Linked DNA regions of Daphnia pulex. Each later gene encodes a partner of the first gene's protein in a complex. Links are inferred from orthologs where the notes say so. Each region holds a gene or a part of one and is shown on either strand. Other genes may lie near its edges.

Region 1 (4,390 bases):
AAGACTGATAATTTGTGTAGATGTAGATAAATCACAAGTGCATATCTGGGCGCCCTTCTTTTCTGTGGCCCCGTTTCCCTAACTAACCACTAGCCAACGGCCGCCGGTGGTCACTCACTCGCTGCGACAACCAGGAGGAAGGGAGTGCGCTGATCGAACTTGCAAGGCGCATGATTCGATGAATACTTTTGGAGGGTCATGAGTCTAAGGCAGCTTTTTATGATTAATCGCTCTCGTAATAACTGTTACACAACTTTTCGCTCTTTTACCCGTTACTCTTGTCCACGACCGGGTAATATACCTGGTCCAATCAATCAAGTCAGGGGGAGTCGACTACAATATGTACTGAACGGATTGTTTATTTAATATTAATGTAAAAGTGATTATTGGAATTTGTTATAGTTAACAATATTTTTTTTAAATTATGATTCTTACATAAGAAAGCCTGTTGCTTACTTAACCACGTTGACACAAAGTTGATATTTTTTGGGCGCAGAAAGCTTTTTCTTCTGACAGTTCTCGCTTATTTCAATCTGCATAGTCGGAGACACAAATGACAAATAGTCGCAAATATTACAAGCCAGTAAAAATCAACATTATCAACATTCAAACTTGGTGCAACAATAACAACGGCACCACAGACAGCATGCAGCAGCTCAATTTTAATTGGTCAAACCTTTCACCAGCTGGCTGCAACAAAACACCGTAATTGCAGTAGCACGGCAATGAATTAGTTGATCTCCACCGAAAGCTGTTAAAACAAAAAAATAATAATTAAAGAACATAACTCGGGTGACGAAACATTTGCAACAGTAGATATTTAAATTATGCAAAATCATTAAAAATCTTTTGGTATAATATTTAAAAAGTTACACAGCTGTCTAATTAATCCACATAATTACTTTTGCTTTGGCATGAGGCGTACAGCCAGTACAGGCAGCAAGTGAAGACATCTACAAAATCAACGGCCGTCAGGCAAGGTCCTCAAACAATTTGGCCCAGTGCTATATGAGGCACTGCATATGCATTATAACACATTGAAGTATGATATGTTTAACTGCAAGTCTGCACAAGCTCCATTGAAGTGCATCCCTCAACTGGAAAAGGGCAGCAAAACCACTGCACAACGAACAGCAACACCAAACTGACCATGTAATCCTACAAAGGAAAGTAACATTAACACATCAATAACATTTTCCGGTGGAAAAGGAAAAAAATATTGATAATAAAATTTGCAAAGAAAAACCAAAAATACATGCAAGTCATGTTTAACTTTGGCTTACAACTGTAAAATGAATGATTCAAACACTTAGTAGTTAGTTAAGCCAATGATTTACTTGAAATGTACACTAAACTAGAAGATGACCGAAGACCAAATTAAGTTTTAAAGAATGAAGTGGATTTCTGTTCCGTAACATGAATAAAAATTTACAACTCTCCACAAATTTACTTAATTTAAAAGAACTTTCCACAAAAGCTCTTATTTAGAAGCATGGAATATGATGTCACTTGTCTCCAACATTAAGAACAACATTGCTAACCTACCTGATTAACTTACAAGTACAATATTACCTTTTCAGATTTCCACTTTTCATCACATTTTTTTGTCTTGCAAATGGCATATGACCCTCTCAAAGAAGCATCTTCATAGTTCATGACAAGGCAGCGATCACGTGGAGAAATGCAGAACATCTTCCGACATGCTTTCACAAGATAAATTGACGTAGATTAGAAAATGGACCTTTCAAAAATTTAAAACTCTCACGATTCACTTACTTGCTTTAGAATTGTTCTCTTTCGATTCAGCTTGGTCGAATGGCGTGGATATTTATATCTCATCATCTTTAAAATGTAAAAGCGAAAAACAGTAAAACACCGTCATGAAGCTGCAACACGATTCCGTCCGCTGTCTCAAAGGCAAATGGATGGAGGCATTTGGTTTGGTTTCAATCTAAAGTCTGAAGCCGACGATAACATATCGATAAATAACTAAAAATCGATACTACAAATTGCGATTACCAGAGCGGGCAGAGCTTCTGTTTACTAGCGCCACTTGAACTACTCTGGGCAATAATCGATGATGCAGTCGAAAAAAGAAAAAGAAAAAATTGAGAATTTAACGGCTGTTTTTGACAGATTTTGAAGGATGCAGCGAGATCCTTCCGACTATAAGAAAATGGCTCACGATCCTTACTGTTTAGAAGAAAGGATAATATCAGACCTTCAAGCTGTTATGAAAAAAGATCCCAACTTGTAAGTATAATTTAATGGTTTTTCTGCAACATCCTTTATGGTGATCAACACCAACTGTTTGTAAACACTAGTTTTTATATTCATTATATTTTTGTTGACAGAGATGAGTTTGATGTTGTTCCAGTAACAGAAGCCAAAAATCGATCACCAATCATCCATATTTCTCACAATCTTGGAATTGAAGTTTGGTGTGTAAAGACGGTTTTCATGTACTGCTATGAAAACAGTTTCAAATTGGATCCCATGTGGAAAAAGGAGTATTTGAGATTGGAAAGATACACAAGAGTGGCATTATTGCTTAATCCCAACATAGCTACATTGTGGAACACGAGAAAGAGATTGATTGCCAATCATCTCTTGGATGGCGATTGTGATTTCCTGCTCAGCAAATTAGTACTAAGTCAAAAGCCCAAATGCGTTGAAGCACTTTCTCACAGGCGTTGGCTACTCCAGCAAGTGTCTATAGACCCACAATGGGTGGAGACAGAATTGTCTCTGTGTGATAGGCTCTCCAGTCGCATGAAATGCAACTACCACGCTTGGTCTCACAGACAGTGGGTGTATTCTCACTCCCTCAAGCTGCAAGGCTTCAATCTCAATCTGTGGGCGTCTGAATTCGAGATTTCTGACGTTTGGACAAAGTTTCACTTGTCCGACCATAGCGGTTGGCATTATCGAAAATTCCTCCTTGATCATTTCAGGCAAAATTTAGGCAAAATTGAACAGAACATGGATATCGCCCGGAAGGTATTGGGCGACTCAACCGGTACAGCTACATCTTCCCAGCTCTACATGAACCTGCTGAACGAAGAACTGCAAAAGAACCAAGATTTGATCTTAAGTTTCAACGCCCATGAAACGTTGTGGTACTATCGTCGATTCCTTTTGCAAGCCGGGACAATAGATCATTCAGAGAGTCTCTTCATCGAAAAGTGTTGCAATCCCGCTAAAAGTAATAGCAACTCCGCCAACAATGTCGACGCCATTCAAATGAGATATTTGGAGCATCATCGACGATGGCTGTCTGATTTCTGTTTGTAAAATTTGACTAATGCTGCTGATTTAGGATCCGTTTGTTGTGTATAAAGGTTACTATAATAAAAACCATCATCCAAGACGGTTAAACTATTTAAACAGAGATACGGTTTATTTATTTCGTTCAGCTTGTAATCGTTGTTTCATTACAGTAATTCAGATAAAAAATACCACGCAATCCAGGCTTGAAGGCTTGAAGCTATAAAACTTGGTGAATTGGTATACGTATTAAGTATATACAAATTGAATAGGAGACGAGCCCAACACCTCAAGTGTAAAAAAAAAATAATAATAATAAGAGAATCAAGAAAAGAAGCAGTCAAGAGATCAACTATAATGCTAGTATAAAACTGGGTGGAGGAGAAATAACTTAAAAAAAGGATCATCGTAAAAAGAGAGGAGATTGCGTAGAGTCGAAGGCGATAAAAGACGGTCGCCAGATTACCTTTAATTAAATTACCTCCGCAGTTGCATACAAGAAAGAGGAGAGAAAGCTAACAATAAAAAAGAAATGTGTGTGTGTGTATGTGTGTGTGTGTGTAGGGAGAAGAAAAGGAGGTGCACCGGTTTGTCGTCGTGAAAGTGTGTTGTGTGTTGCATTATTATTTTTGTTTTTTTTTTGTTGTTTTTGTTTTTTAATCCTTTTTAATTATTTGTATAATATTCCCTCTTTCTTCCTTCTTCGTGTCGTCGTCCTCCTCCGCTCTTTTTACGAGGATGTAATCTGCTGACGTATGATAAGGGAGACGGCGCCGTCGGGCAGCTTCTTCATCAAATTCCAGGCCTCTATCCTCGACATGGACCTCACATCGCAGTCGTTGACTGAAATGATTTGATCGCCAACGCGCAGTGTGCTGTTCTTGCTGGCCGCACCCCCTGCCAAAGCCATAATCAAAAAAAGAAAGGATAAAGAAATGATTTTTTCAAAAAAAAAAACATATGAACTCTGTAATTCGTATTATTTGCATAGGATATGCCTCTTTTCTTCTTCTCTCGTCTTCATCATCATCTCATCTTCATCATCGCTAATGATTACCGGTGAATATCTTTTTAATGGTGAGCGGACGATCTCCCAGCGGTGAATCCTTGCCGCCTTCTAAAC
Region 2 (4,494 bases), on another chromosome or scaffold:
AAATTACTGTAGGAAACAAAAGGAAGTAGACCTGGTTTAGTCACGTGGTGTGGATTTTGTGTCGACACTTCCGATTTCTTTTCTTTTCTCTTCCCACGGCTTGCTTTTTTTGGTTTTAAAGAAGGCAAAGAGGGGGAGAGAAAGTGAGACATTTTGTCAGACGAAACCTGTCAAAGTGCCTTGGACTGTTTTGACTTAGCATTATGTTGTAATAACGAGCCCTAGACAGGTATAACAAAAACCGCTATAACCTTAATGGAACGGCGGGTGATACGCGATTTGTTAGTAGGAATAATAAAACAATCATTCGAAGGTGATGAGAAACAGGTGTAGGTATCTATCAAATCGTGCAAACATCAAATTTCAAAAGATGAGAAAAAAAATTAAGTAACTTCGTGACTCTTACAATCTTATGTGTAATTATTTCTGAAACCCGCCTCTTTCTCCCCCAACACACTCTTTCACTCGCTCGACTTTGTTATCAGATACAAATACAAATTAAATCTCAAGATGAGATAAAAAAATTCGTTTTTCAGTCTTTTATAATTCTCATGCTTTTGATACCATCAAAACAGCACTTGGAACTAATCCTAGCACATCGAGTGGCTTCTCGAACTCTTCTTCGGTAAATACTTTTCTAGGAAAATTTGTTTGAATCCGAAATGGTTCCGGCACTCCGGCATTTACATCGGTCCTATTCATTTGAATGAAGAGACGAACTGAAGCTAGCTGCTCCTTAGCACCAAATGTTTGCGTCATTGTCGATCCATTTGGAAGTCTGGAAGAAATAATAAAGAGTTATGGAAGAGGGACTTGCGTCATCCAGAATGATTTATAACCTTATTTGGATTTTCGTCTCCTTATAGTCCTTGGGCTGATTGGGTGTTGTCGGTGCCGGAGCCGGAGCCTGAACTGGAGGAGCTACATATGGCGTATTGGTTGCGTCACCGGCTTTCTGTTTTCGTGCCAATTTATCTTGTTCAATTTGTTCTTTCACTCGCTGTCTGGCTTTTTTCTCTTCTTCTTTTTCGCGCCTCCGTTCTTCGGCAATCTTTCTTATTTCATCCTCTTCGAATTTCTTTTTTATATTGAGAAGCTCCTTGCCTGACTGTATTCTTCTTTTTTCTTGCTCCAGTTGTTCGGCCTTTTCTTTCTCTTCACGTTCTTTGCGCTTCAACTTCATCAACTCCTCCACTTTCCTCAGTTGTTCCTTCTTTTCTTCTTCAGTGAGAGGCTTCTTTTCATCAGTAGATTCTGAAAACTGGCTGTGACCGGTTTTCGCAGCATGAAATTCTACCTCTTCATTTGTGCGAAATAGTCTATTACATCTAGAGGAAATTTTAAAAAACATATGTAAGAAATTCAATGGTTGACTTGAGTTCCATACTTACTCATCACATTTAATAGATTTGGCAGTAACAGCAGCCATTTCAGCATTTGATGCTTCAGGTTGAGCAGCAGCATTTGGTTCTTCCTCTTTCATTTCTTGATTGTTGTCAGTTTGTTGATTGAATTTCTCACTGTTCACAATCAACCAATCCATTGCAGCTTCAATATTTTGGTCTCCAGTTTCTTTAATAGCCTTTTCACTTTTCAAATTTCAAAGAAATATAACAAAATATTAAGTTGCCATTTAAAAAATATAAAAGGTATGAATTATTTGGAATTAAAACTTACGCTAACTGTTCAGAAAATCCCATTTCTAGTAACAGTTGAAGATTTGATGACATTTTCGGTATTTCGTTCTTCGAAAAACAACAGAACAGAGGTATGTCGTCCGACTAGCGCTAGCAATGTCAGTATGTTATTAAAAAAGTGACGATGAAGCCTCTTCTGTTGGTGTGATTTTGCCCCAAAGATTTTTGTAAAATTTTGTGTTTTTTGTATTGAAATTTACATTGAAACCAAATGTTTTATTTCTCAAATTATTATTAATTCTACTAAAAAAGTGTTTACTTTCTTGCAATTAACTATAATTCAATTTAGCAATCTGATTAGCGCCAAATTAGCGCGGGGAAACAGCTTATTTTACGTTTATCCGCTAGAGGCGGTGTATTCCGATGCAACAAATGGGTTCTTCGGCCATTCCCGTTGTTTTATTGAACTTTTTCTCTTGTTGGTTGTCACTTTTTGCAGACTTCTATCGGATCGGATTTAACCGCTTCTGAGGAAAAACTCAAGCCGTCCACTTGAACCTTTAGTACTAATTAACAAAGGCCTCTCCACTTATCAGTAAGACGATTGTTGGAGGATCTTATATTTACTAGTCAAATCTAGAAAAATGGTGAAGCTGTATTCTTTAGCGATTTTACATCGCAGCGAGCAAGGGTCACCACAGCTACTTAGAGCGGCTTACGACCTCTCAAGTTTTGGATTTTTTCAACGAAGCAGCGTTCAAGAATTTATGGCTTTCACTGCCAAGATCTTGACTGAAAGGACAAGTGCTGCGTCCAGACAATCGGTGAAACAAGGAGGTATGTATGCAAAGAGTCATCATAAAACTCAATGTACATTATAAATTAAATGTTATTTCTTTATTGCAGAGTATATGTGTCACATTTATGTGAGAGCAGATGGACTCTGCTGTGTTTTGACGGCAGATCATGAATACCCACAGAGGGTTGCTCATACCTTGTTAACCAAAGTGAGTGCTACTTGTATGTTGGTTGAATTGAAATGATGAGATATTCTTAATTACAAAAGGTGCTTGATGATTTTGCTGCTCGGGTGGAATCATCTCTTTGGATAGAAGCAAATGCTGCCTGTGCAGCTTATTCTGGATTAGAAGCATCTTTGGCAAAATATCAAAATCCCAGAGAAGCAGATGCTCTAACTAAAGTTCAAGATGAACTAGATGAGACTAAGATTATTTTGGTAATTTAAGTCTTAAAGTTTCAATCTGTTTTAATTTTTTTTTAACCAGTCATGTTTGATTGTCATAGCATAACACAATTGAAGCTGTATTGCAAAGGGGTGAAAAACTGGATGACCTTGTATCAAAATCTCAAGGACTGAGTGATGCATCAAAAATGTTCTATAAAACAGCTAGAAAAACAAATTCATGTTGCAATTTTGGATAAGTTCTCAAGAAATGTTTATTTGATCACATTCTTGGAATGGTACTATTACTTTATTTTTTGAAGATGGTCATAATTCACATTCCTGAATGAGTTGAAATTGAAAGACATATGGTACAGTTATAAATTCATTTTTAATTTTTGAAGGGTGCCCAATAATTGCTGTGAACTTTTCTGTCCCACTCTGTTCCCGTTATGCGACAGCACTCATTTTCTGTTTCTCATAAATGTATCATATCGTAAATGATTGTGACGCTAATGTTAGGTATTTCGCTGACGTTGCATGGATTGTCGTCTCTATGATTTCATTTCACAGCTTACATCTGTGCCGCAGGTCCATCGATGTAAAAGAAATAAATTCTTCTTAATCAATTTATCAATTTGTCGCGTTCGTGGTTTATATAGTTTTGTTGCTCAAACCGATTCAAACGTAAACCGCTGAGAAGATTTTTTTTAAGCGGTACTTGAACAAGGTGGTTGCAGAAACCTATAAGGTTCTTGGGCAACAGATGAGAGATGATAGCGAAAGCGGAACAAACAGTAGACTGTGTGACGCGGCTGACGTCTGCTGTGGTCCCTGAATATGTTCATTCTGACCAAGTGTGGGATGTGACTGTTCTCTAATTCAATCTTAAAAATAAATTTCAAATCAACTGATAAGTAGTGACTGGAATAGAAGATGTTATTCCAAGGTGTTAGTTTTCTATTAGTGACCTTAACAACTTTTATTTCGGTTGGAGCTTTGGATGTCACCGGAAAAATTGCTACGAACCCGGTTTGTAAAGACGACGTGACACGTCTTTGCAGCTCTCAAATTCTTCCAAATGATTTGGCTGTTCTTGACTGCCTTCAAAACAGGAGAAGTGATAGTGATTCTGATATCAAAATAGAATGTCATTCTGTATGTTTCTTTTTTATTTTATTAAAGTACTCATTTCAGAATTAAAGGTTACATTTTTAATTTTTTTCTTTTTATAGTTCCTTTGGCAGTTCAAACTAAATCTAACTAAAGGTGACCAATTTTTGGAAGCTGCTGAAAAAATGTGCTCTGAAGAGCTGAAAAATTTGGAAGAATGCAAAGACCAATCGCTTGAAGGCCATAAACTTTCTTGCCTTCTTGAAAACTCTGACTCTGTTGCCCAAGGTAATAAATGATGGCAAAATGACAGAACTATGGTTTAAATGTATCTCCTTAAACTCAGGGCAATGCAAATCATTTCTTGTGAAAATTGGTTCAATCATATTTAGCGATTTTCGCTTGGTTGAAAAATTCACCACTGCCTGCCAGGATGATATTTCCAAATTCAACTGTGGCCGGCTAGATTCTGAAGAAGAAGTATTTCTATTTGTCAATAATTTAAAATTCATTTCTTTATGTCATTTTCAAATTGATAGAGAGACCACAAACAAGGATCTA
Region 3 (4,422 bases), about 1.5 Mb from region 1:
TTCTGGGGCTGGGCCGGCAATGCTGGTGGTGGGTTGACGCAAGAGTCTCGCGAATACTATTCACAGATAGTAGCAGAATCTATGCCTCTCGTTCTCGACGGTCATCGTTCGCCCATCGAATGCATATCCACCGATGGAGATGTCGTGTCGAGTGTCTGCTTGGCCGGCCAGCTCCACATTTGGGACATCCAGACGGGAGATGCCGTAGCTCAAATTGATAGAAACACTTATTTCGCCGCTTTTCAGCAACAAACGTCGCCGGCCTCTCCCAATTTTCCACGCCACGATACTTACTCATCCACTAACGAACTGGGCGGACTGTTGAGTCACGCCGTTTCTAATCCGATTGTATTTAGATCCCCGGGCTCGTTTCATTCTCCTCCGGCCAGCCCTAACAACCTGTCTTGGAAAGACAGAACTAGTCCAACGAGAAATAATAAAACGTCTTACTTTCCATCGCCCGTCTGGTGCATGCAATGCTTCGATGGCCAAGTGGCACTGGGCTGTGCCAACGGACGCATTGAAATTTGGAGCCATAATTCCGGTTTGCGTTGTCTTTACGACGACGGCAGTGGTGTCGGAGTGGCCAAACTCAAAGTTTGTGGCGAGTATCTTCTAGCTGCCCGATTGAATGGAGTCCTGGAGTCGTTCCAGTTTCACGCCGATTTCGACAGTCCTGTGGAAGATGTCAGCCACCACGTTCATTCTCGTCGTGGCGCCGACGAGTACGACGAAGAGGACCGATCATCTCCATTAGCTTTCCGTTTGGTCCGGCTCAACTGGGCTAGAGCTCACCAACAGCCCATCTCAGTGTTGGACGCTTCGGCTAGTGGCAGCCGCGTCGTTACGGGTTCGCTGGATCATTGCCTCAAAGTCTGGCGACTGGAAACCTTGACAGCCCTCTACTGTCTTCACGGGCATCGCGGACCCATCACGGCCATGTTTATCGACGAAGCTTACCCCTGCAGCGCATCGGGAAGCGGAAGTCAAGACGGAATGCTGTGCATGTGGGATCTCTCCAGCGGGACTTGCGTCTACAGTTTGCAGGCTCATGACGGTAGCGTGTCCGTCCTGACTTACACCTCCTCGTACGTCATCAGCTTGGGCGCCGATGACAAGCTGTGCGTTTGGGAGCGATTTCAGGGTCATCTGCTCAATTCTCTTTCCTTGTCCCGTCTGGCTCTGTGCGGCAGTTTAGCTATGCTCAATGATCGGTTACTTGTCACCAGTCGGCAAGGATCCCTGGTCGTCTGGGATGTCCGAACGGGAGAATCGATCCGTGAAGTTCGTCTTGGCGATGCCGACTCGAGTACTTTTGTTCGTAACGTCATGGTCGTCAGAGACAACGTCATCTGTGACTACGGAACGCAGCTTCGCATCGTTTCTTTCCCCATGATTTCCACCCACAAAGTCGAGTAAATTATTGTGAAAAATTGTTAGCTTTTTTTGGTCTTTTTCCTTCCCTTTTTTTCCCCCTTTTTCCTCAGCCTTTTTCATTGTCTTTTTCAGATTCTCTTTTTTTCTTTTACTTTAGCGTGTCACATGTGATTGGGTTTGTGGATGACAACATAGAGGCTATTGAATTCTACAACAAAACATACCAAAACTGTTGCCGATTGAATAAACCGACTTTTTTTCATTGGAATTTGTTTATCCTAGAGATCATGACTTCATTTACGTAAAAATGGTGTCTTCAAAAAATTAAAAATCTTCATTATGTCTTATAATTTCGATGGCGCTACTGTCGCATCGAAAAAGATCCGTCTGCTAGCCCCTTAACAGTCAGCTGCTCATGCTGCTTAACTTACGTCAAAGTGGTCTGTGTGCCTGTGTTTGCAAAATAAATTTTTAATTTCATTGTTAAGAGTGAAAATCCACCAATCCATAATTTTTGGATAGCTTGGAACCTATTATCCACTACCCCTTGCTACCCCTTAACCATTCCCGCGTAACAGATATAATTTCAATTATGGTACGTATATTTAGATGATTATTTTGAGGAAGCCGGTCTCAGTTTTGATATGATAAATGGTTTATTTGAACATGTGAACTAGGCCCTTCTCATGAACGACATAGTGCTACCGAAGGAGGCTGATATACCTAATCTGTTGCTGCCAAAGCATGCAAGTTTCTTGGCAGCATATGGAAACAATAAGGATGATTATGAATTTTGTATGACAGAGTACTTGAGAATGAATGGAATCTATTGGAGTTTAACAGCAATGGATTTGATGGGCAAACTTGGTGAGATGGACAGAGATGGTATTATTTTATTTATAAAGCAATGCCAGCATGAAAATGGAGGTATAGGAGCTAGTGTAGATCATGATCCTCACCTTCTCTACACTTTGAGTGCTGTTCAGGTTGGTAATGAGAGTTGACTCACTTCATATGCATCTGAAAATTGAATTTTTTTTCTTCAGATTTTGTGCCTGTATGATGCACTTGATGCAATCGATTGTGAAAAAATTGTGAATTATGTCAAAAAGTTGCAAAATGATGACGGAAGTTTCTGTGGTGATCAATGGGGTGAGGTTGATACAAGGTTCTCTATGTGTGCAGTTGCATGCTTGGCTCTTTTGGTATGTGGATTTACTGATTGCAATTTTTTTATGATTAACACATATTTTTGTACACATTTTTACTCCAGGGAAGGCTGGATGCTATTAATATTGATAATGCAGTAAATTTTGTAATCTCATGTATGAATTTTGATGGAGGGTTTGGATGCAGACCTGGCTCTGAAAGTCATTCTGGGTAAGTTCTAAGTTGAGATAATTACAAAGGAAGAAATAATACTGTTTCTTTTTTGTGGTTACCTTTTCAGTCAAGTGTATTGCTGTGTTGGTATGCTGTCGATTACAGGTCATTTACATTTGATCAAAGCTGATAGCCTTGGCTGGTGGCTATGTGAACGGCAGTTGCCGAGTGGCGGTAATTACTTTTGTTTTTAGAAATCTTTCAAATAGACGTCTCTTAAACTATGTAACTCAATTGTTATTTAGGTTTGAATGGTCGACCAGAAAAATTGCCGGATGTTTGCTACTCTTGGTGGGTAGTTGCGTCTTTGCGGATTATTGGGCGAGTTGATTGGCTTGATAAGAATCAGTTGAGAAAATTTATTATGGCCTGTCAAGACGTCGAGACAGGCGGATTTAGTGATCGCCCAAATGACATGCCCGATCCATTTCACACCCTCTTTGGTTTAGCGGGTTTATCTCTTCTCGGTGAATCTAGTCTTAAAACTATTAATCCTGTATTCTGTATGCCACAGCAAGTTATTTCCCGGCTGAAAATTCAACCACAGATGTTGTCGTTATAGCAACTTTATGAATTATTGCTTTAATTGTCCTTCAGAATACAAAAAAGGTTTTTGCATAATCGACATCTAACACATGCAAACTACTGAACAAGTCATGCGTAAAACGTAATCTATTTTCGGCACCAGTATTTCCATTACAATGTTGGTTTAAAACAAATTTCAACGTGTTTGGTATCCGTTTAACTCTAATTTACCTGATTTTTTAGTTTCCCTTTTTGACCAGAGATTAAAGGGATGTTCCAACCCTTTTGTTTTTAAATATTTTAGGTGGTTCAGTGGAAGAAATTTTATTTTCTGAGAAATACGCCTTCAAAAAGTGTAAGTGACAACTATTCTTAAACATAATTTATTTTTCATCAAGTGGATTGCAATATAAAATTTGTCAATATTTCTAGAAAGCTCAATGATAGTCTATTCAACACAATAACCACTTTTTGTACCAATCACCACGAGTATGTTTTCGCGCATCTTTAATTGGCATATTTTCCATCCAAATCTTAGGCTGAATGAACCTCGCCTGTATATGCTAAATTGTCTTCTCCAAGGTCTTCTCCATTTTGTTGATATTTGATTGCCTCAATGTTTGAGGGCTTGGAATCGCTGGTCTCAATTGCAGGAGATTCATCCGAAGAAGTTTGGTATGATCGTGAGCGCCAGAACTTCACGGAGCCCGAAGATATTTTTGTCGAATTACTGGTGGCACGTGAAGCAGATTCCTTGATTTTGACCACACGGTCCCTAATCATTTTGTAAACTTCGGTTTTGCAAACGAAAAAGTAAAACATGGCCGGTCCGATCAACATGTAGAGAGAAATACTGAAGATGAGCAATTCGGGAGTGGCATTGTCTGAATCGACTATTTCGTGAACGATTCTCGGTATCGTGTAAAACTGCATCAGTAAGAAGAAACGGAATATCGTCGTAATCCTGCGTAAAAAAAAGGAACGGTAAGCAACATTTGTTACATCACCATGAAACTATTCATATTTAGATATAACCTTTGTTTTTCCAATTTGCTGAGAGCCACGGGCGAAACAGAAGTTTTAAGGAAACGGAGACTTCCATGAACTTTAAGAGCGCTTGGAATGAAGAAAATCAAA

The links. Proteins that work in one complex are often made in the same cells at the same time.
Region 2: the proteins of protein prenyltransferase alpha subunit repeat-containing protein 1-like (region 1) and synaptobrevin homolog YKT6-like are in contact, whole or in part, in a crystal structure (PDB 6J7F), measured with the Homo sapiens proteins. The link is inferred for Daphnia pulex from reciprocal best matches to the Homo sapiens genes PTAR1 and YKT6. Residues at the interface, in NP_001093136.1 of Homo sapiens: Glu31, Gly33, Leu34, Ile35, Pro36, Val48, Val50, Glu51, Lys53, Leu54, Gly55, Ser58, Lys135, Tyr191, His225, Ser228, Met229, His230, Val231, Ser232, Asp233, Phe298, Asp301, Leu302, Ser305, Tyr306, His309; in NP_006546.1 of Homo sapiens: Met1, Ser29, Phe30, Phe31, Asn83, Glu84, Pro86, Gln131, Asn132, Pro133, Arg134, Gln180, Phe184, Arg189, Ser193.
Region 3: the proteins of protein prenyltransferase alpha subunit repeat-containing protein 1-like (region 1) and geranylgeranyl transferase type-2 subunit beta-like are in contact, whole or in part, in a crystal structure (PDB 6O60), measured with the Homo sapiens proteins. The link is inferred for Daphnia pulex from reciprocal best matches to the Homo sapiens genes PTAR1 and RABGGTB. Residues at the interface, in NP_001093136.1 of Homo sapiens: Val61, Lys62, Leu65, Pro66, His69, Leu73, Arg76, Leu97, Asn98, Asp100, Phe101, Thr102, Thr103, Asn106, Lys109, Glu110, Leu113, Ile141, Arg144, Trp145, Pro192, Ser193, Tyr195, Ser199, Ile202, Trp203, Gln206, Val231, Ser232, His234; in NP_004573.2 of Homo sapiens: Lys6, Asp36, Tyr37, Cys40, Met41, Glu43, Tyr44, Ile89, Gly90, His91, Asp92, Asp136, Trp138, Glu140, Phe177, Asp178, Gly182, Cys183, Arg184, Pro185, Gly186, Ser187, Glu188, Ser189, His190, Gln193, Trp217, Glu221, Arg222, Pro225.

The regions. Positions count from the first base shown.
Region 1 is NC_060019.1:9,416,068-9,420,457, forward strand, and holds protein prenyltransferase alpha subunit repeat-containing protein 1-like, read left to right. Parts: upstream 1-2,052; 5' UTR 2,053-2,146; coding exon 2,147-2,253; intron 2,254-2,354; coding exon 2,355-3,294; 3' UTR 3,295-3,387; downstream 3,388-4,390. Other genes in the region: mucin-17-like, read right to left, coding at 3,998-4,164, 4,325-4,390.
Region 2 is NC_060026.1:12,910,945-12,915,438, reverse strand, and holds synaptobrevin homolog YKT6-like, read left to right. Parts: upstream 1-2,057; 5' UTR 2,058-2,281; coding exon 2,282-2,474; intron 2,475-2,543; coding exon 2,544-2,644; intron 2,645-2,703; coding exon 2,704-2,874; intron 2,875-2,942; coding exon 2,943-3,080; 3' UTR 3,081-3,453; downstream 3,454-4,494. Other genes in the region: UBX domain-containing protein 1-B-like, read right to left, coding at 550-778, 840-1,328, 1,392-1,589, 1,678-1,730; Golgi apparatus protein 1-like, read left to right, coding at 3,757-3,978, 4,056-4,221, 4,280-4,413, 4,473-4,494. UniProt on the Homo sapiens protein: Vesicular soluble NSF attachment protein receptor (v-SNARE) mediating vesicle docking and fusion to a specific acceptor cellular compartment. Functions in endoplasmic reticulum to Golgi transport; as part of a SNARE complex composed of GOSR1, GOSR2 and STX5.
Region 3 is NC_060019.1:10,894,158-10,898,579, reverse strand, and holds geranylgeranyl transferase type-2 subunit beta-like, read left to right. Parts: upstream 1-1,751; 5' UTR 1,752-1,969; coding exon 1,970-1,972; intron 1,973-2,054; coding exon 2,055-2,363; intron 2,364-2,423; coding exon 2,424-2,582; intron 2,583-2,650; coding exon 2,651-2,757; intron 2,758-2,827; coding exon 2,828-2,934; intron 2,935-3,005; coding exon 3,006-3,322; 3' UTR 3,323-3,381; downstream 3,382-4,422. Other genes in the region: sterol regulatory element-binding protein cleavage-activating protein-like, read left to right, coding at 1-1,419; uncharacterized protein LOC124191180, read right to left, coding at 3,820-4,249, 4,321-4,422. UniProt on the Homo sapiens protein: Catalyzes the transfer of a geranylgeranyl moiety from geranylgeranyl diphosphate to both cysteines of Rab proteins with the C-terminal sequence -XXCC, -XCXC and -CCXX, such as RAB1A, RAB3A, RAB5A and RAB7A.